Linked DNA regions of Yarrowia lipolytica. The protein of the gene in region 1 interacts with the protein of each later gene in a pairwise test. Links are inferred from orthologs where the notes say so. Each region holds a gene or a part of one and is shown on either strand. Other genes may lie near its edges. The genes, in order: YALI1_E21513g, YALI1_C12900g, YALI1_E40502g and YALI1_B20289g.

Region 1 (5,705 bases):
GCCGATGGTCGCGGCCCTGCGGCATTCTGTCGGTCGCCTATGTGGCGCTCATGACCCCCATTCTGTGTCTGCCCCAGTACAAGGGCAAGAACCTCGATCTCGACACCATGAACTGGACCGTGGTGGTCTACTTTGGTCCCATGCTTCTGGCGTTTGGCTGGTTCATGATCGACGCACGAAAGTGGTTCAAGGGCCCCAAGGTCAACGTCCAGCATGCCATCCACAAGGACCACGAGCTTGAGGAGCAGTCCACCAATGGCGTGGAGTTCTTGTCGGGCGTTGAGCCCAGCGGATCGGGCAACTCCTATGAGGAGCACTCCAAGGCCAAGGACTGGGCTCGAGCCGACCAGGTTTAGTTTGGACTTTATGCCGTATTTATTTGCATAGTGAATGTTTACTTGATGAGTTAGTAGGGATAGGAGATATCATAGATCAGAGTAGTATCAGGATCAGCATCAGGATCAGCATCAGCATCAGAAGAAAGGTATCAGATCAGAATCAGACCAATGGTAGCGATCAGAAGAAAGGTATCAAGTCGCAAGTCACGGAAGTGGTTCTGTCAATGGTCGATAGTCAACATGTGGATTTCGTGAGTCTTACCGAGTCTACTCGTAAGTCGAGACGTTCTTCTGTTGTCCTCGTGTCGCCTGTTACTCGTCAGTCGTCTCTGTTGACCTGCCGAGCCAAACGCTCGCTCCTATATATACATCCGGCGATATTTGCTCAGACCATTTTCCGCCCACTTTCTCCAAAGTAGGGCAAAGCTGACGCCATGCAGATGCGCTTCCCTTTTGTGATTAGTGATCGGAAATACCCCAGCCCTAGCCGCTCCATGTTCGTTTTCCGCCAGACTCGAACCCACGGGCTTGTCTTCACCGCCACTCGCTACTCCCAAAATAGCTCCGAGGAGGCGCAGCGACCCACATTAGTCACGCAACCTGCACGATAGCAGAGCAAAAGCTCCGTGTCGAGGTTGGCGAGCAAAGTTGAGATATGCCGCAAGTTTGGTGAGGTGGTCGGCCTGCCCTCGGCAAGTGGAGGTGTCGTGGTCACCAGTGTCTCAGGTACGATGCCATCTGGAGTATAGATTGATACGAGTGCACTCCTAAAGACTGCTATAGACTGCTATAGACTGCTATAGACGCTATAGACTGCTATAGACTGCTCCTATACACTCCTCCGACTCCACGAGCCCTTCAAATGTCGCATGGACCACGTCGACACGCTTTTACTTCGCGGTCCGCTTGCGCATCCATCCGGCTGGACCAACAGTGGCATCTCCTGAATAATACGGGGCGGAGTGGAGTATCGTGGGTCGTAGGTACAAGGCGCTAGTGAAGGTGCTGACAAACGTTGTCGAAGCGGTTTGAGACGGTCAGAAGCGGTTCGTCTCAGCGGTTGAAAGAGCGGATTGGCGACCGTCGAGTAAAGTTGGACCCAAGGAGCTGTCCCACGGTGTAATACAGCCAAATGTGCTCATACTGGGCTCGAACCGTGCGTGTCCCACGTACAGCACATGGCCAACAACCTCGTCAAATTGAACTCACACATTCACTAAAGTTCATACTGCAGTACAGTTGGAAGTAGGGTGGGGATGAAGAGAAAAAAAAAAGGAATCCTCAGAGGAGAAACAAACGAGAAGGAGACAAGGGCCCGTGGGGTATATATTTGGCCGCGCAACAAACAGGTGGCAGGCACGTGTCTGCTGTCTGCGGGAGTCCACGTGACTCGGCCACCGGCTCCTTTGCCCGTCTTTTCCCACCACCACTATTAATGCCTCTACGTACCCCGGGTAACTTTGAAATTGGGAGGCGAGGCAGCAAGACTAAGACCCAAACTGTGTGTGTCACTCTCACTTGAGCTAGTTATCGAACCGGGCTACAAAGCTCCTAGATTCCAGCACAGTCTTCCTCTTCCACCAGAGCGATAGAATTCCGGCATGCCCAGGACAACCAAGCTAAGGCTGACGGGTGAGTATGAGCCGGTGGCGTTGCGCCACGGAGCGACTGTGGCAGTCAGTCAGGGACCAGTCAGGACCAACGGAACACTGGGTGGACATGGGACAGGGTGACACAGACAGAGAATGTCGCAGACAGAGAATGTCGCAGACACAAGGTGGCACAGACAGAGAATGGCACAGACACAGTCCAATGGGAACGGTCCTCGGCCGAACGCCCCTATGACAACTGGCCTGATATCCATTCGGAGATACACAAACTCTGGACCGGAGATCGAGTCTGTGCGACACCAGTGACGGAACGAGTGACGGAACGAGTGACGGTGCGGAGAGACCATGCTGAATGACGGTGTCGAATGGCAAAGACCTACGATATGGAATGGCCAGGACGTCTTCAAGACTTGGTCTCCTCTGTGATCAGAGTGGAGGAGTGCCCGGGTCAAATATGTTCTCAACGTCGTTGCCGTACGTTATTGTACATCATTGTCATCAGTCGTTGCCATCGTTGCGTTGTATGGTCGGGGTTCATATCATTGCATTGGTCGTTGCCCGTCGTGCGACCTGGTATCCGGCCGTCGTGTGACCCGGTGTCCGGCCGTCGTGCGACCCGGTGTCCACTCGAGCCCTCGTAGCTCGCTGCACACGCTACTCTTCCAACCCCGCTAACACAGTCATCGCCGCAGACCAACTATACAAAAGAGATGTCTTCCGTCTCCCCGACCCCTTCGCAGTGGTCCTCGTGGACGGCGGCCAAACCCGAACCACCTCCGTCATCAAGAAAACGCTCAACCCCTACTGGAACGAGTCGTTCGACGTCGACGTTACCCCGTCGTCCATCATCGTTGTGCAAATCTTTGACCACAAAAAGTTCAAAAAGAAGGACCAGGGCTTCCTCGGCGTCATCAACATCCGCGTGGGCGACGTGCTCAACCTGGCCCAAGGAGGAGACGAGATGATCACCAAGGACCTCCGCAAGGCCAACGACTCGCTCGTGGTCAACGGCAAGATCATCCTCAACCTCAGCACCAACACCGCCGGCCGACGCGCCACCGGCGCCTCCTCCGCGGCAGGCTCCACCGCCCCATCCACCGCCTCCGTGTCTGCTGCTGCTCGCACCAACCTCCCCGACATTTCGTCCCTCAGCGTCGACAACTCCAGCGTGCGAAGCAGCTCCACCTCGCACAGCGCCACCCCCTCGGCCACCACTAACAGCACATCGACCAGTGCGCTGAACGGGGCCAATAACACCACGGGCACTACAACCACCACAGGCCCCCCTGCCGGTGCACCCACCGCTACCGCCACGTCCACGGCCGCACGCCCAGCCCCCAACTCCCGGGGCTTCTCGTCCTTTGAGGATCAGTTTGGCCGGCTGCCCACCGGCTGGGAGCGACGTACCGACAATCTGGGCCGAACGTACTACGTGGACCACAACAATCGCAGCACCACGTGGACCCGCCCGGCAAACTCGCAGAACGAGTCCGAGTCGCGCCAGGCCCGTCAGAACAACACTAACCTGGAGCGGCAGCGGCACCAGAACCGAACGCTGCCCGAGGAGCGGGCCCAGTCGCCCACGCTCGGTTCCCACAACCGTACCGGCTCCGGCGCCACCGCAGGTTCGTCGTCGGGAGCGGCGGGAGGAGGTGCAGCCGCCGGCGGTGTTGCAGCCACCTCCCCGGGTGGTACTCCCCGGTCTGCATCCGACGCCGTGGCCATGACCATGTCTGGAGCCACCACACCCGCACTGGGCGAGCTGCCTGTCGGCTGGGAGCAGCGGTTCACACCCGAGGGACGGCCCTACTTTGTGGACCACAACACACGAACTACAACCTGGGTCGACCCTCGGCGACAGCAGTACATTCGAATGTACGGCGGCACCAACGCCGCGGGGGGCACCAACACGACCGTGCAGCAAATGTCTGTGTCCCATCTGGGTCCCCTTCCCTCCGGCTGGGAAATGCGGCTCACCAACACTGCTCGTGTGTACTTTGTGGACCACAACACCAAGACCACAACCTGGGAAGACCCACGGCTGCCCTCGTCGCTTGACCAGAGCGTGCCGCAGTACAAGCGGGACTTCCGACGAAAGCTCATCTACTTCCGGTCGCAGCCTGCTCTGCGAATTCTGCCTGGCCAGTGCCACATCAAGGTGCGGCGAGATCACATTTTTGAAGATTCATATCAGGAGATTATGCGGCAGACGCCACAGGATCTGCAGAAGCGACTGATGATCAAGTTCGACGGCGAGGAGGGTCTGGATTACGGAGGAGTGTCGCGAGAGTTCTTCTTTTTGCTGTCGCACGAAATGTTCAACCCCTTTTACTGTCTGTTTGAATACTCGGCGCACGACAACTACACTTTGCAGATCAACCCCCACAGTGGCATCAACCCCGAGCATCTCAACTACTTCAAGTTCATCGGTCGGTGCGTCGGTCTGGCCATTTTCCATCGTCGATTCCTTGACGCCTTCTTCATTGGCGCCTTCTACAAGATGATTCTCAAGAAGAAGGTTATGCTGGAGGACATGGAGGGTGTGGACGCGGACTACCACCGAAACCTGGAGTGGGCGCTGGACAACGACATTACCGATGTGCTGGACCTGACCTTCAGCGTGGAGGACGACCAGTTTGGCGAGATTGTCACCATTGATCTCAAGCCCGACGGCCGAAACATTGAAGTGACCAACGATAACAAGATTGAATACGTTGAGCTTGTGACCGAGTGGCGAATCAGCAAGCGTGTGGAGGAGCAGTTCCAGGCGTTTGTGTCTGGATTCTACGAGCTCATCCCCCAGGAGCTGGTCAATGTGTTTGACGAGCGGGAGCTGGAGCTGCTGATTGGAGGTATTGCCGACATTGACGTCGACGACTGGAAGAAGCACACCGATTACCGGGGCTACTCGGAGTCGGACGAGGTCATCAAGTGGTTCTGGCAGTGCATTAGATCGTGGGACAGCGAGCAAAAGTCGCGGCTGCTGCAGTTCACGACCGGTACGTCGCGAATCCCCGTCAACGGCTTCAAGGATCTGCAGGGCAGCGATGGTCCTCGCCGGTTCACGATTGAGAAGGCTGGAGAGGCCCAGCATCTGCCCAAGTCGCATACCTGTTTCAACCGAGTCGATCTGCCTCCGTACAAGAACTACGAGGATTTGGTCAAGAAGCTGTCCATGGCTGTGGAGGAGACTGTTGGTTTCGGCCAGGAGTAAGCCGGGGAGACGGGACTGCGCAGTGCAGGTAGCATATACATTTTTATAACATGCTTGAGTGAGCTGAGTAAGGCGCGGTGAGTATAAACCTTTTATCAGTATCGTAGCTGTACAAGTGGTTGGTAATCAGCCACAGTTTGAGTGAGGGATATACACTGGGTGTGATGGAGAGAATATGTAGGTGGAAGAGGTATGGGATTGCATTGTAGACGAGTATACCAATCGGGTATAGCCTTAGATGAAACAGTGATTCAAAAGAGTGATTCAAAAGTGAGCGACGCCATCTGAAAACCGGTTGAAAAACAGTTTGAGAGACCACTGTTCTCTCCACAGCTGGTGCGGGAGTCTAACCTACTGTGCGACACTATTTGCCAAAGCTACGATTTAGGTGGGGCTGGTTTGAGGGCTGCAGTTTGAGGGTTGCAGTTTGAGAGCAGCAGTTTGCGTGTTTTCAGTTTGCGAGATTGGTTTCTGGTCACGTGACCGGCGAGAAGGCCCGCGGCCTGATTTTAGGAGGTGTGCGTTTTTCTGACTGCTACAAGT
Region 2 (4,393 bases), on another chromosome or scaffold:
TGGATAACCAAGTCCGTCCAACACGTGTAATTGTACAATACTTGTGCTTGTACCATTAATGACGGACTTTTCCAGCATCTCTGTCGCTCTCGTCAATGGGCTTCGTATAATTGCAGTCATAGAACTGACACCATATAGAGCCACTTACTGTGGTTAAAATGCTCCACTCACTCTCTCACTCTCTCCAACTCACCCAATGATGGCCCGATCAGAAAAAGGAAACAACCATCACACTCCTCTCGTTGCACAGATGACTCTCCCATTTCCCGCTTCCATCTACCACCAATATTCGCAGCACAATGGCCCCCTTACTCCTGTCCTATGAACTCAATCCTCGGGTTGGTTATGCTTATAATTAACATTATCAAAATATCTCAATACAATCACTACAAGTACGCACCATGATGCTACAAACTACCGGCTTCATACTCATGTACAGGGCAACAACCACGGCTATGGTCATGGTCGGTTGCAGTTTCATAATTCGCTCGATTGATTACTCATCGTTCGTTTTGTCAGCCATGCGACTGTTCATTCAAAAGACTTGATTCAAAACCTGTCAAAAGGACACGGTTGTCCGCTTAGGCGCCAAGGGCGGGGAAGTCAGAGGCGGAAGAGAGGTTGACGGAGGGAGCCTTTCGCTCCTGGGTTCGGAAACCCTTCTTGTCACCACCTCGCTTGCCGTCTCGGCCACCTCGGTTCTCTCGGGGGGCTCGGTCGGATCGGTCACCTCGAGACTCTCGGTTGGCGGGGAAGGCAGGCTCAATCTCGAGCAGAACCTTCTCCTTTCGGGCTCGGGTTCGCACGTTCTTGGCCTTGGTGCCGGCAACGAGATCGGCAACCTCGTCCTTGTCGAGCTTGGAAGCCTCGGAGTACTTGGACTCGGCGCCGGCGTTGGCCTGTCGGACAGATCGGCCGGAAGCAAGCTTGGCGGTGGCAGCCTTCTGCTCGGCAAGGTACTCCTCCAGAGTCTTGGTGTTGTCAGGCTCCTCAACAGGGGCCTCGACGGGGGTCTCGGGCTCGGCCTCGTCCTTGGTGGCGATGGCGTCACCGGCCTTCTCGTCAGCGAGCTTGCCCTTGGAGTCGCCCCATCCCTTGCCAACCTTCTTGGCAGAGTCGGACTTGCCGGTCTGGGATCGTCGGTCAGGTCGGGGGTTTCGGGCAGGCTTGCCCTTCTTCTCAGCCTGGGGCTCGGTGGACTTGGACCGGTTCTGGTCCCGCAGGGGCTGGTTGGACTTCTTGGAAGCACCGATGGCAGCGCCGGGGTCCTTGGGGGCGGCGTTCTTCTTGGAAGAGCCGGAGTTCTTGGTGAGCTCCTTGGTCACAATGACCTTGTTGGAGTCCTCCTCCACGTTGCCGAGGATTTCGTATAGGTTCTGGGTTAGCACGGAAGATGCAAGAGCGCACAAGCGGAGCGAGCGCGAGCGGGCAGTAAATGAGTCACAAACAATTCGCAACGGAGTCGCAAGGAGACGTCGCAGTCAACACAGGCAACTCGCTTGCTGCTCGTCTGCGAGTCGACTTGCAGGCAGCGGCCCCAGGCTTCCCCTCACCAAGTGGGGTAGCCAGGAAGAGACATCGCCATGTGAAGGAGGTCGACGGCGATTCGACGGCGACCTGGCAAGCTGGCAAGCTGGGCTCTGGAGATGGCCGGCTATGCTCAGCCCGGGAATCACACGGTCCGCCCACCGGTCCGAGGCGTCTGGAGAAGACCCATGGTTGGAGTGTGGTGATGCGCATGAGGAAGAGATACATGCCCGGCGAATGATGGCACTGGCCACGTAGATAGCACAAGCACTTCGGATTGGTGGGATGGTTGTGGTTGACGCTGCTGACCACTGACTACTATGGACGTAGGTCCGTCGGATCGTCTGATTGCGACATCCCCGCACCTCCATCGTTCAGTGTGAACGGGTCATTTTGGGATTGTGGTTGGTTGCGATATCATCGACGCTGCCCTTGAGGCCACGTCTCCACATTGCCCACACCACTAGGTGGACATGGGGCCGTTGGGTGCAATGATCTGACAACACCAAATGTGCATCTCCACCGACCCAAACAGCACCAACACAAGCCAAGCAGCCAAAAACACAATCGACCCCGTAATCAACAAACCCCTTGACGCCATCCATCATCAGCTTCTCCTCCGTCACACCTGCGACACCACATCCCACATCTCTGCCACGTGCCCCACGGGACACCTCCACCCATGTCAGTCACACATGACCCACATGTGGGGTTGGATGATCCTCGGTGTTTGGCCGCTGGGGCGTGGCCGCCGGGTCCCGCTTTCACGGCCCCCCCAACCCCTCTTGTCTTCAAATACTCACCTTGGAGACAGACATGTTAGCAGCCCTCTATTATCCTCGTGTTTGGACACTTAAAATTTGGAGCAACAGCAAAGTGAAAATTTCACCGACAAGTGTGAGTGGGTTGGCGCTGGCCCAATGGGGGAAGGTAGGGTAAGAGGAGGTGACGTAGGGTAAGTCCCGTGATGCGATCCCCCTCACGAGCGGGGGGCCCAGTCCTAGCCCGACGTGATGCCTCCGACCAAAGCGGCCACGGAGAATCGATTGGCCCTCTCAGATTGGTCACTAGACCGCTCCCTGGGCCCCTTTGGAACCTGTCTCCGCACCTCTTGGGACCTGGGTGTACTTTAGTCTACAAACCTAAGGCTCCAAAGTTTGCTGTGAGGAGTATGCAGGTGCGATAGAGGCAGGTGTAACCAGCCGGTGGAGTGGCAAGGAGAGATTGGAGAGAGTCACGTGACAAGGACGTTGAGTGGGCCGGCAGAGACGTTTTTTTATTATTTTTTTGTCCTTTTTTGAGAGTGTTTTGGTCTTGGTTGGTCTTGGTTGGTCATGGTTTTGGCTTGGTCTTTTCAGCTTGGCTGTATCGCCTGATCTGTCTGCTAGAAGTATGATCAACAGTAATCAGTGCACGAGGAGGGGAGGAGGACAGAGGGAGGACAGAGGGGCAGAGAGGACGGAGGAGAGAGAGGGGGGAGGACTCTCGATAGAAGGGACGAGAAGGATGTCGTAAATTGTCAGTCGGACGGATTTAACGGGTACTGTGTGTACTTATCTTGTATATTCCGTTTATCCTGGTCAGCTCTGGAACTTTTCAGCATACTGAACTGTCCTCTCCAAACTACAGTACGACGACCGTACACCAGCGGCTGTCACTACTACTGTACTGTACATACTGTACTTGTGGCCATCTGGTGTCACTACTTGCGGCCATGGTCGTCCTGAAAGATGGATGGGGCCTGATGATTGTAGGACTACTGTTATGTACTTGCAGTCCCACTTTTAGAGCAAGTCTCACTCCAAACCTACACCTTTGGAAAATGTGGGGGAGTCACTTGAAGGTTTATTGTAGTTGGTGCGTAGGCAGTTGGCCAATGGAATGGTTGGTGAGGTCAGAGGGGTGATGGGGAGGGAGTCACAGAGAGGGAGTCACGTGCCATGGAGTTGGGTGTCGATATGTTCACGTGACGCAGGACCCTCACAGCTTCCGATCCTCACAGCTTCCGATCTGGGCGGAGTTGTCTTCTCATGATTGAATTAGACCATCATCTACGGGACAGCACGGACTGTTTCCAGAGAAGTTGACTATTAGTACTTGGGTTGGCTGATTGTATAGCACCAACCAATCAAACAACCAACCAAATCAGCAACAGGACCGATAAAACGCAATCACTCAATGAGCAGCTCATGAGCCATCCTGATGAGTAAGCTGATTGGAGACAACCTTGTAGAAAGACTGTCTTCAGGTGGAATAGATGGTTTGTCAAAATGCTTCTATGCTGGTACTAGTACTCCCTCAACTTCACCAACGCGCCTGTATCATGTCACCTTGTTGTTGTCGTCAAAAAGCCGATATTATCTGTACGATAACCGACTTTGTGGCTCTCATTGGCCGTCCCCACACCCTTATCTCCGCTTCTAACGCCTAAAGAGTGAGTGCGTTATGGAGTGCGTTCGGAGGTGGTCAGGGTCCGGATCCCCATGGCGGGAGTGAGGTTATTCAGTGAGGAGATGATGAAGATGGACAAGTGGCCACCATGTATGGACGAATTCCACTCACGCAGCTTCATCGGACCCCATGAGCCCTGCTCCACACACTCACTGAAATCACATTCACAACCTGCAGAGAGACCACATATCTTTTTGCTCGCGTTTTTGCCCGTTTTTGCCCGCTTTGCCTGCGTTGCCCGCCTTGCCTGCGTTGCCCGTTTTGCTCGCTTTCCCGCCTTGCCTGCTTTGCCCGCAGCTTTGCCCGCAGTTTTTCTCGCAACTGCTTTGGAGCTCGCACAGTCCATCACCCTGGCGCATCTGCCATGCGCGACAATGTCGATTCAGGCCTTTTTTTCAGGCCAAACCTGACGACT
Region 3 (4,732 bases), about 1.9 Mb from region 1:
TGGGACCTGGTATTGTGCGAAACTTTTCTCTGTTTTCCATGGTCTAGGGATTGTATGTAGTGTACATTTATGATATAACGATTGATCCAGCCCAGTGTCATGATACACGAGGTGAGTTGGTAGAAATGTTGGGTGTACTATAGAAGGCTATGTGTACACTATGTTGATAATTAATTATAAGAATACTGATGAAAGAATTCTCGTCTCAAGAGCCAATGACCCTACGTATTACGTAGTGTCCTGTGCCAAGAGTGCGTAATATCCGAGATAATAGTGCAGTTGACGTTGGTGCACAAGCCAATGGCAGCACGTTGTGGTTATTGTGGCTTTTCCTACTCCGTTGCTCCTGTCTGCTGTTATTGCTACTGCTACTGGTCGCTACTTGAAGCTACTGTCTGTGTGTAATTATATCTAATAAATGTATTCAGAAAATGCTAAAGAATAAATAGAGATCTACCAATCGATAGACCGTGAAAGTCAGAGAAGAATGTGGTTGTGAAAAGTCGTGATTGTAGAGTCGTAAAGTGTTTTGAAGTGGCCCTAGCGATCTGCTTAAGATCGCATGTAGTTGAGCAGACCCTGAATACCAGCGTCGAAGCCCTGGTCCCACTCCCAGATGGCACCGGAGTTACCCTTAGCAGCAATGTGCTGGGCTCGTCGGGCGTCCTGCCAGGCGTTGATTCGGCCAATGGTGGAGCCGTGGAACTCGTAGAAGGCGGCAGCGTCCTGCCATCCCGAAACGTATCCATCGGCGTATCGCCAGTGCTCGTAGTTACCCTGATGCTGGTCCCAGTAGGCAGAGTGCTCCTCGGTAGCCTTGGTGGCTGCCTCCTTGATGCCGGCCTTGGGATCCTTGTTGGAGCCTCCGTTGGAGAAGGTCGGGAGGGCGCCCTTCTGGGTCATGGGTTTGAAGCCCCAATCGCCTCCATCGCCGTACTGGAACTTGTAAGTCCAGAAGAACCATCCGGCTCGGGCATTCTGGTTGAAGGACTCAATTTGAACCTGGCCGTACTTGATGGCAAGCTGCTCTCGGTCCTCACCGCCGGCCTTAGCCCAGGTCTCCTCGGAGAAGACACAGGAGAACTCGCCGACAATAGAATCAGCCTGGGCCTTTCCAACATTGAGGTAGGCGGGAACGTTGGCAATGTTCTGCTGGGGAGAGTTGCCCTTGTCCTGCTCGGAGAAGGCCTTGTAGACGTGCGAGTCGACAACAAAACCAGTGTTCTGACCGGCAGAAAGCTTCTGGTTCTGCTCCTGGACCCACTCGTTCCATTCGGTAGGAGCCCAGCCATCGGAGATGTAGACGGGAACGTCAGGGTTCACCTGTCGGATGGCCTCGAGAGCTCGCAGGTAGTAAGAGCCCTCCTTGGAAGTGGAAGCGTCGTAGACGGCCTCGTTGACGACCTCGATACCGAGAACGTTGTCGTATGAAAGCACGTCCTTGGCGACCCACTGGAGAGCGTCAATAGCAATCTTCTGGTCGCTTCGAGAGTCCCAGAACTCGACCTTACCGGAAGAGGTTCCAGAGTGAGCGTCTCCGTTGGCGCCGCCGGGAACGGCATGCAGATCAATCAGAACAGCAATGTTGGCGGCTCGGGCCTTGTCGAGAATGTTGGTCTTGAAAATGGACCAGGCGTTCTGGTAGACGGACTGGTACTGCTGGAAGGGGGTGCCCTGGGTGAAGGCGCCTCCGTTGATGGTCCAGTAGCCCATGGGCACTCGGATGGCGTTGGCTCCCACAGACTGCAGGTACGAGAAGTCGTCGTCGGTGATCCAGGTGTTCCAGTGGTCCTCAAACTTCTTCTGGGCGCCGCCGGCACCCTGTTCGGCAACGAGAGCGGTCACAGCGTCGAGCTCAGCGTCTCCCTTGGCGGAGTCGGGGAACATGCCAGGGGTCAGCCACTTCTCGAGAAGGAACATGGAGCCAATGTTGGGGCCATGGTTGTTTCGCGACTGGAAGATGGTTCGGTCATTGGGAGCCTGGTTGGGCTTGCTGAGGTCGGCAGCGGCCACGGGGCCAACGTTGTTGACCATGTCTCTGATTTTGGTTCCAAGTCCCATGTTGTGAGTGTCGGTGGTAGTGTCGGGGGGGGAGTCTTCCTGGTGAACGGGGATAAAGAGGGGGATGAGACTGGGGTTAGGCTCGGTCTCAATTGATGCGGTGGCAGGTTCGGGAATGGAAGAAGTAGAAGAAGAAACCTCAATGGTGTGGGTCTCGGAGCTAAGATTGCTACCAGAAGTTAAGGTTGCGGTATATGCTGCGGACGAGGTACCAGCTGAACTTTGCTCCCGGAGAGCAGCAGCAGAGGCAGAGGCCAGTCCGAGATTGCAGTCGACAGAAGTCTCGACGGTGTCTCGCTTGTTGTGGACAGTGCCGCTCAGGGCAACGCCGTTGAATGCAGGAAAGGGTTTGGGCAGAATGGTAACATATCTGACTGTGGGGGAGGGTTCGGGGGTTGCGGCGTCGGAAATTATCGTCTCAGAGGCTGTTTCGAACACGGTTTCTAGCACCGTAGAGTGAATCTCCACAGTGACGGCGGCAGACATGGCCACAGAGGCCATAGAAAGGAGAGTTGTGAACTTCATCGCAAATGAAAGTGAATAGCGTCAATTGACAATGTCGGATAGACAGTAATAAGAAAGTGTCGGATAGACAGTAGGTGTCGGATGGACAGTGGGTGTCGGATAGACAGTGAGTGTCGGATGGACAAGTGGTGGAGGTGTCGGATGGACAAGTGAGTGTCAAAAGACTGTAGAAGTTGTGAAAGAGAGTGTTGATGAGATTGTCTGATGAGAATACAAGTTTCGAGGATTGTTCACATCTATATATACTGAGTGCATCTTTATTTCCCCAGACTATTTCCCAGCCTTGCATTTTTTCATCTCCGCAGGGCTGCCACATAACCTCACCGAAGTATGCTGTGGCAACCAGCATCTCAACGTTCCCTGCATCTTACACGTCCAAACCATCGCTCGGGTGTGTCTACCGAAACCCAATCTGCAGTCTTGGTGTCAGACACACTCTGGTTTGGTCCATCTTCTCTAGCCGTAAAAGCTCTTTTTTCCCTCTTCTATCTTCCCTCAACCAGCCTCCCAACTACTGGTACAGCTCTCATGCACGATACCACAAGAGAGACCTTATCTGAAGGTGGCGATCCAGCCCCGAGGCACTTGCCACACGAACAATGGGCTGGAAGAGACAGGGGTCGTGTGTTTCATCGTTTGATTACAATGGTCTAAATGAGTCAAATCCGATCAGCTGTAACACACGTGGAGATGGGGGCACCTGGCGTGTGTGGAGATGAGATCCTTGACATGCTGATATGCAGGTCTCAATCTTCGCAAGCTCTGTCTAACAAAATATCACACATACCACTTCACTTCTACAGTATTATTATCCACCGTTGCCCACACTAGTTGTAATATTTCCGAACACTGACCCAATAATCAGACCCCAGGGTCCTCCAAAAGTTGTTTTCTTAGTGTACTGTTGAAGACCAGCGCTCAAAACAACCACCCTCAGAAAGGACGGTGGGCTACCAGCCTCATTGTGTTTGGGCCTAATGTGGCATAACCCTACCCCTGTTGATGCACTGGAAACGTTATCTGTTACCAGCAAAAACTTGTGCTGACGCGATTGCTAACGCCGTAGAAGTTGCACTAGCGGTTGAGCTATTCAGGGAGATGTAATAATGGAATATTCTGTGTTTTTCACACGATTTGAACCAATTTCAGCTATGCAAACCCCTAGATAGACATTTATGATAGACATTAAAAGACGTTCAAATACGATGAGGCACCTGAAACTCTATTTTGCAATGACCAGATGATCCTGTTTACCCTAACCCAACCTGACTGGAAATTAAGGGCCACAAACGCACAAACGCAGTCCACACGTGGGGAACATCATGTGTGACGTAATGTCAGATCGGTTATTACATTTCATTCTTTGTCCATGTGTTGGATTTGCTCTTTGTGGCGTTTCAGATTGTATTCTCCGTTGAAATTTGCAGATCTATGACGTCACAGCGTCTGTTTGAACTGTTGGAGAACAGTTGCAGCGGTACTTGTATGTAGACAGATATGAAGTCCAACTGTACCATGATGCTTTGGCTTATCAAGCCTCCCTTTTATGAGGTGGGTAACAATTGCTTGTTTATGCCCCCATTATAATGGTCCTATGTGGTACAATAAAAATGCATTCAGTTATATGTAGTGTGGATCAATGTCCATCTCTTTTATCCTTTTCTCACCTTCTCTTTTCGTATCGTTATTAGTGGTCGTCGTCGCTGCTGCTACTGCTGAAGTCGTAATCCTCATCTGGTCTCTGTTGAACGTACTCTCCGATGTCGAAAAGAGGACCCACAGTCTTGACCCAGGTCTGGTCCCAGGTGTTTCGAGACTCGATCATAGCTCCTCGCTTGATGTTGTCAAGTTTTCCACGGTTGGAAAACAAGGACATGAAAGTGTTGCCCATCTCCACGTGGCCCTTGACAGCCACACCGTTGGTGTTGGTCTTGACCAGCTCAGAAAGAGCAGCGTAGTCCACAGACACCACAGGAATGCCACATCCAAACATATCAACGACCTTCATGGGCAGATCATAGCCTGAAGAAGACTCATGGAGAGACACTCCGAGGTGGGCAGCGCCCAGAATTCGAGGGTAGTCGGCAAACTCGAGCCAGGCGGTTCGAATGGACACTCTCTTTAACTGCAGCTTTTCCACCTTGGC
Region 4 (3,732 bases), on another chromosome or scaffold:
CTGTAGTGGTGGTAGTGGTGGTGGTAGTAATCTCAGTGGCGACGGCAGCAGGAGCAGCATCAGCAGCGGCATCAGCAGCGGCATCAGCAGCGGCATCAGCAGCGGCATCAGCAGCGGCATCAGAAGTAGGCTCGGGAGCATCCACCACCATCTCGGAAGAGTCGACCTCAATTTTGGCCTCGGGGATGGTGGTGTTGTTGAGAGCTTCTTCAGCGGTGGCAGCAGCAGGCTCAGCGGGCTTCTCCTCAGCGGGCTTCTCCTCGTCACCCTGCTTGTCCATGGTAGTCATTCCAGGAATGGCCTCGCCTCCCACGGCGCCTCGAATATCCGACGCAGTTAGATCATTGTCGTTCTTGACCTCCGGGGGAGCGTGCACCTCAGTCACGAATGCAATCACGTCGTCTGTGGAGCCGTACTTGAAAGCGACATGAGCCTCCTGGTCGGGATCAGGAATCCATTGCTTGACCTTGAAGTTGAGGTTCGACAGCGACACAGGGGTAGACGCGGGGGTGCCCTTCTCGGCGTCAGCAGGGGTCTGTGCTCGCTTTTCAGATGGAGCAGACACCACGTTTGGTGACTGTTGAGGAGATACCCATTGTCGGACCCAGTGGACCACCTTTGAATCTGTGTCGTTGGCGTAAGTAGAGGCACCGGCCGATCGCATGACCGATTGCCGGTGAAGTGATCGTCGAGTCACAGGCATGTTATGTGATGTGTGGTGGTGAATGTGTAGAGAAGTGTAGTTGGTGATGCTGGTGAATTATTAGAGTTGGTGCATAGCAGAACCATACTGTAGATGGCTTGGGACAAGAACTAAAGTATGCGTGCGCGGATGGATGTTCGGTACGAGTACTGTTGAAGAGATATCTACAAGTAGTGCTAAACCCACGCTTCTGAAGATATGATAGTTTCTGATGTTCATGAAAGATGTGCGAGGGAGATGATGACGTGATTTATTTCATGCTACCAGCCTGTTCATCGACAATATGGTTTTTCTTAGTTGACAAAACAACAAGATACATAGTATGGTAGGCTACAACCTGGATGTTTCATGGATGGTTGTTTCATGGATTGTTGTTTCCTTCTCACAATGAGCATCATGGTACATCACCAACCAAATCTAGTCATAGTCTTTGCTCGATGCTTGCCTCTTACAGGGGTTTAGAACTTCCAAAACCCTTACTAAGCACATAAGGAACGCATGCCTGAGACCATCAATGCCGAGAATCTTGTACAAGTACATGCTGTATTCTCATCTTCTAGAAGCATGTTCGGTTAATGGCGGACGAGGTTTCCAACGAGATAACATCGTGGCAGCTGCCACCCATGACCGATATGCCTGAAATAAGTGAATTGACCATCAGAAGTTCTGCATTCAAATAGAACTATATCATATTCGGCTCAGTTTTTTCAATAATAGTCCAATCCCTAAGTCTCCTATCCAAAATGGTTCCTGACCAGCCACATCCATGATCATGACTGCGTGACAGGAACAGTCATTCCGTGGATGAACGACTTTACGCTCAGGTACTGTAAATATCTGTAAAGGGCAGACAACCAACCAATTGAGTAACCTGTGAGACTTGAAACGTAAGATGACTTCACACACAAAGTCACTTGACTCAACCGTGGCTCTCAATTGCACAAAATCACTCTGCACTAATCTATTGCAGGAGTCAGGCTATGAACAACTAGACGACAGCTACTTATGTGTTATATAGAGGAATATTAAAAAATCTAAGAATAATCATAAAGTTACAAAATAATTATCAGATTTCGAGCCACAGGTCACCCCTAACATGTGTTATTGCACACCCACAATCCTCAGCTTGATGTCATTTAATTCTTCCAGCCACCATCTCTCTCTCCAACCCTAATGGCAAACTTTATTTTGGTGGATCGATGACTCTTACTCAACTGCAGCATACTTAAGCACAATTGTTCCCCAGCCTGATACGACACACCATCCATTGTCACTTCACCACATACAACAACACAGACACAATGACCGCACCAGTGAAGCTCCATCTCCGAGCCGAGACCAAGCCTCTCGAGCACCGATCTGCTCTCACGCCTACTACCACCCGAAAGCTGCTTGATGCTGGATTCGAGGTCTTTGTGGAGAAGTCTCCCCTTCGAATCTTCGACGACCAGGAGTTTGTCGATGTCGGAGCCACTCTTGTCGAGGAGGGCTCTTGGGTCTCTGCCCCCGAGGACCGAATGATTATTGGTCTTAAGGAGCTGCCTGAGGAATCTTTCCCTCTGTCTCACGAGCACATCCAGTTTGCTCACTGCTACAAGGATCAGGGCGGATGGAAGGACGTTCTGAGCCGATTCCCCGCAGGAAACGGAACTCTGTACGACCTTGAGTTCCTGGAGGATGACAATGGACGACGAGTTGCCGCCTTTGGCTTCCACGCTGGATTCGCCGGTGCCGCCATCGGTGTCGAGACTTGGGCCTTCCAGCAGACCCACCCCGACAGCGAAAACCTGCCCGGTGTCTCTGCCTATCCCAATGAGACCGAGCTTGTCGACAAGATTAAGAAGGATCTTGCCGCTGCTGTTGAGAAGGGCTCCAAGCTCCCTACCGTCCTGGTGATTGGTGCTCTTGGCCGATGTGGATCCGGTGCCATTGATCTGGCCCGAAAGGTCGGTATCCCCGAAGAGAACATCATTCGATGGGACATGAACGAGACCAAGAAGGGTGGACCCTTCCAAGAGATTGCTGACGCGGATATCTTCATCAACTGCATCTACCTGTCTCAGCCCATTCCTCCTTTCATCAACTACGATCTGCTCAACAAGGAGACCCGAAAGCTCAGTGTCATTGTCGACGTCTCTGCTGACACCACCAACCCCCACAACCCTGTCCCCGTGTACACAATTGCTACCACGTTCGACCATCCCACCGTGCCTGTTGAGACCACTGCTGGCCCCAAGCTGTCCGTGTGCTCGATCGACCACCTGCCCTCTCTTCTGCCGCGAGAGGCTTCCGAGGCCTTTTCTGAGGCTCTGCTGCCTTCTCTCCTGCAGCTTCCTCAGCGAGACACTGCTCCTGTCTGGACCCGAGCTAAGGCTCTGTTCGACAAACACGTTCTGCGAATTGGCGAGTAATTTCATTAATGCAAATAGACGTGTATTTGAAAAGGAGGAGATGATGGTACCAGTAATTTACGGTGTTTGAATAGACAAATTATATATATAAAATTAACCTGATGAATGAGTGTATGAATGGATTGCTTAATATACCGAGGGAGAGCCGGTATCAATATTTATTCGTCCTAAGAAGCTAAAATATGCTGTTCCGTTGATAGCGATGTCTGTTTGAGAGTCAATGGCAGAACGCGGAGGAGTATTGTTAGTTGGTGATCGGTTTACTCGACATCGAGTAGGGGGCGAGACAGAAGATATCCCGAATCCATTGCATTGTTTATTAGGATGTTCACAACACAACTCCCTCTAGACTCTGGGGATGTGCGTTAGAAGAATGACCTGGAGCAAGAGTGTTCAGATTGATCCGTTCAAATTTTCAAGATTACTGTTGGGGTTGTTTTTGAATCCACATTAGCTGGACGACTATTGCATCTGAGCGCTCGGAACGTCTCCCTTTCCTTCAGCTTTATACGAGTCGATTCCATAAGCGCGACCTCTCGAATTGCCTTCGGTTGTGAAGCCATAGGCAAAGGTGTGGCTATGGAATCTGTTCTGTTCGTTGAACCTGTTCCTTTCGTT

What was found.
Region 2: the proteins of YALI1_E21513g (region 1) and YALI1_C12900g interact in binary tests that used the Saccharomyces cerevisiae proteins (3 or more experiments, as listed by UniProt). The link is inferred for Yarrowia lipolytica from reciprocal best matches to the Saccharomyces cerevisiae genes RSP5 and STM1.
Region 3: the proteins of YALI1_E21513g (region 1) and YALI1_E40502g interact in binary tests that used the Saccharomyces cerevisiae proteins (3 or more experiments, as listed by UniProt). The link is inferred for Yarrowia lipolytica from reciprocal best matches to the Saccharomyces cerevisiae genes RSP5 and MRX18.
Region 4: the proteins of YALI1_E21513g (region 1) and YALI1_B20289g interact in binary tests that used the Saccharomyces cerevisiae proteins (3 or more experiments, as listed by UniProt). The link is inferred for Yarrowia lipolytica from reciprocal best matches to the Saccharomyces cerevisiae genes RSP5 and LYS1.

Annotation. Positions count from the first base shown.
Region 1 is NC_090774.1:2,148,244-2,153,948, reverse strand, and holds YALI1_E21513g (uncharacterized protein), read left to right. Parts: upstream 1-1,939; coding exon 1,940-1,970; intron 1,971-2,628; coding exon 2,629-5,162; downstream 5,163-5,705. Other genes in the region: YALI1_E21552g (uncharacterized protein), read left to right, coding at 1-356; YALI1_E21535g (uncharacterized protein), read left to right, coding at 402-409, 454-757; YALI1_E21524g (uncharacterized protein), read right to left, coding at 1,168-1,445, 1,494-1,551. UniProt on the Saccharomyces cerevisiae protein: E3 ubiquitin-protein ligase which accepts ubiquitin from an E2 ubiquitin-conjugating enzyme in the form of a thioester and then directly transfers the ubiquitin to targeted substrates.
Region 2 is NC_090772.1:1,288,704-1,293,096, forward strand, and holds YALI1_C12900g (uncharacterized protein), read right to left. Parts: upstream 2,346-4,393; coding exon 2,331-2,345; intron 1,377-2,330; coding exon 582-1,376; downstream 1-581. UniProt on the Saccharomyces cerevisiae protein: Ribosome preservation factor that protect a small pool of nontranslating, vacant ribosomes in cells under nutrient starvation conditions.
Region 3 is NC_090774.1:4,048,098-4,052,829, reverse strand, and holds YALI1_E40502g (uncharacterized protein), read right to left. Parts: upstream 2,587-4,732; coding exon 553-2,586; downstream 1-552. Other genes in the region: YALI1_E40540g (uncharacterized protein), read left to right, coding at 1-47; YALI1_E40471g (uncharacterized protein), read right to left, coding at 4,274-4,732.
Region 4 is NC_090771.1:2,026,922-2,030,653, forward strand, and holds YALI1_B20289g (uncharacterized protein), read left to right. Parts: upstream 1-2,004; coding exon 2,005-3,114; downstream 3,115-3,732. Other genes in the region: YALI1_B20276g (uncharacterized protein), read right to left, coding at 1-703; YALI1_B20319g (uncharacterized protein), read right to left, coding at 3,577-3,732. UniProt on the Saccharomyces cerevisiae protein: Catalyzes the NAD(+)-dependent cleavage of saccharopine to L-lysine and 2-oxoglutarate, the final step in the alpha-aminoadipate (AAA) pathway for lysine biosynthesis.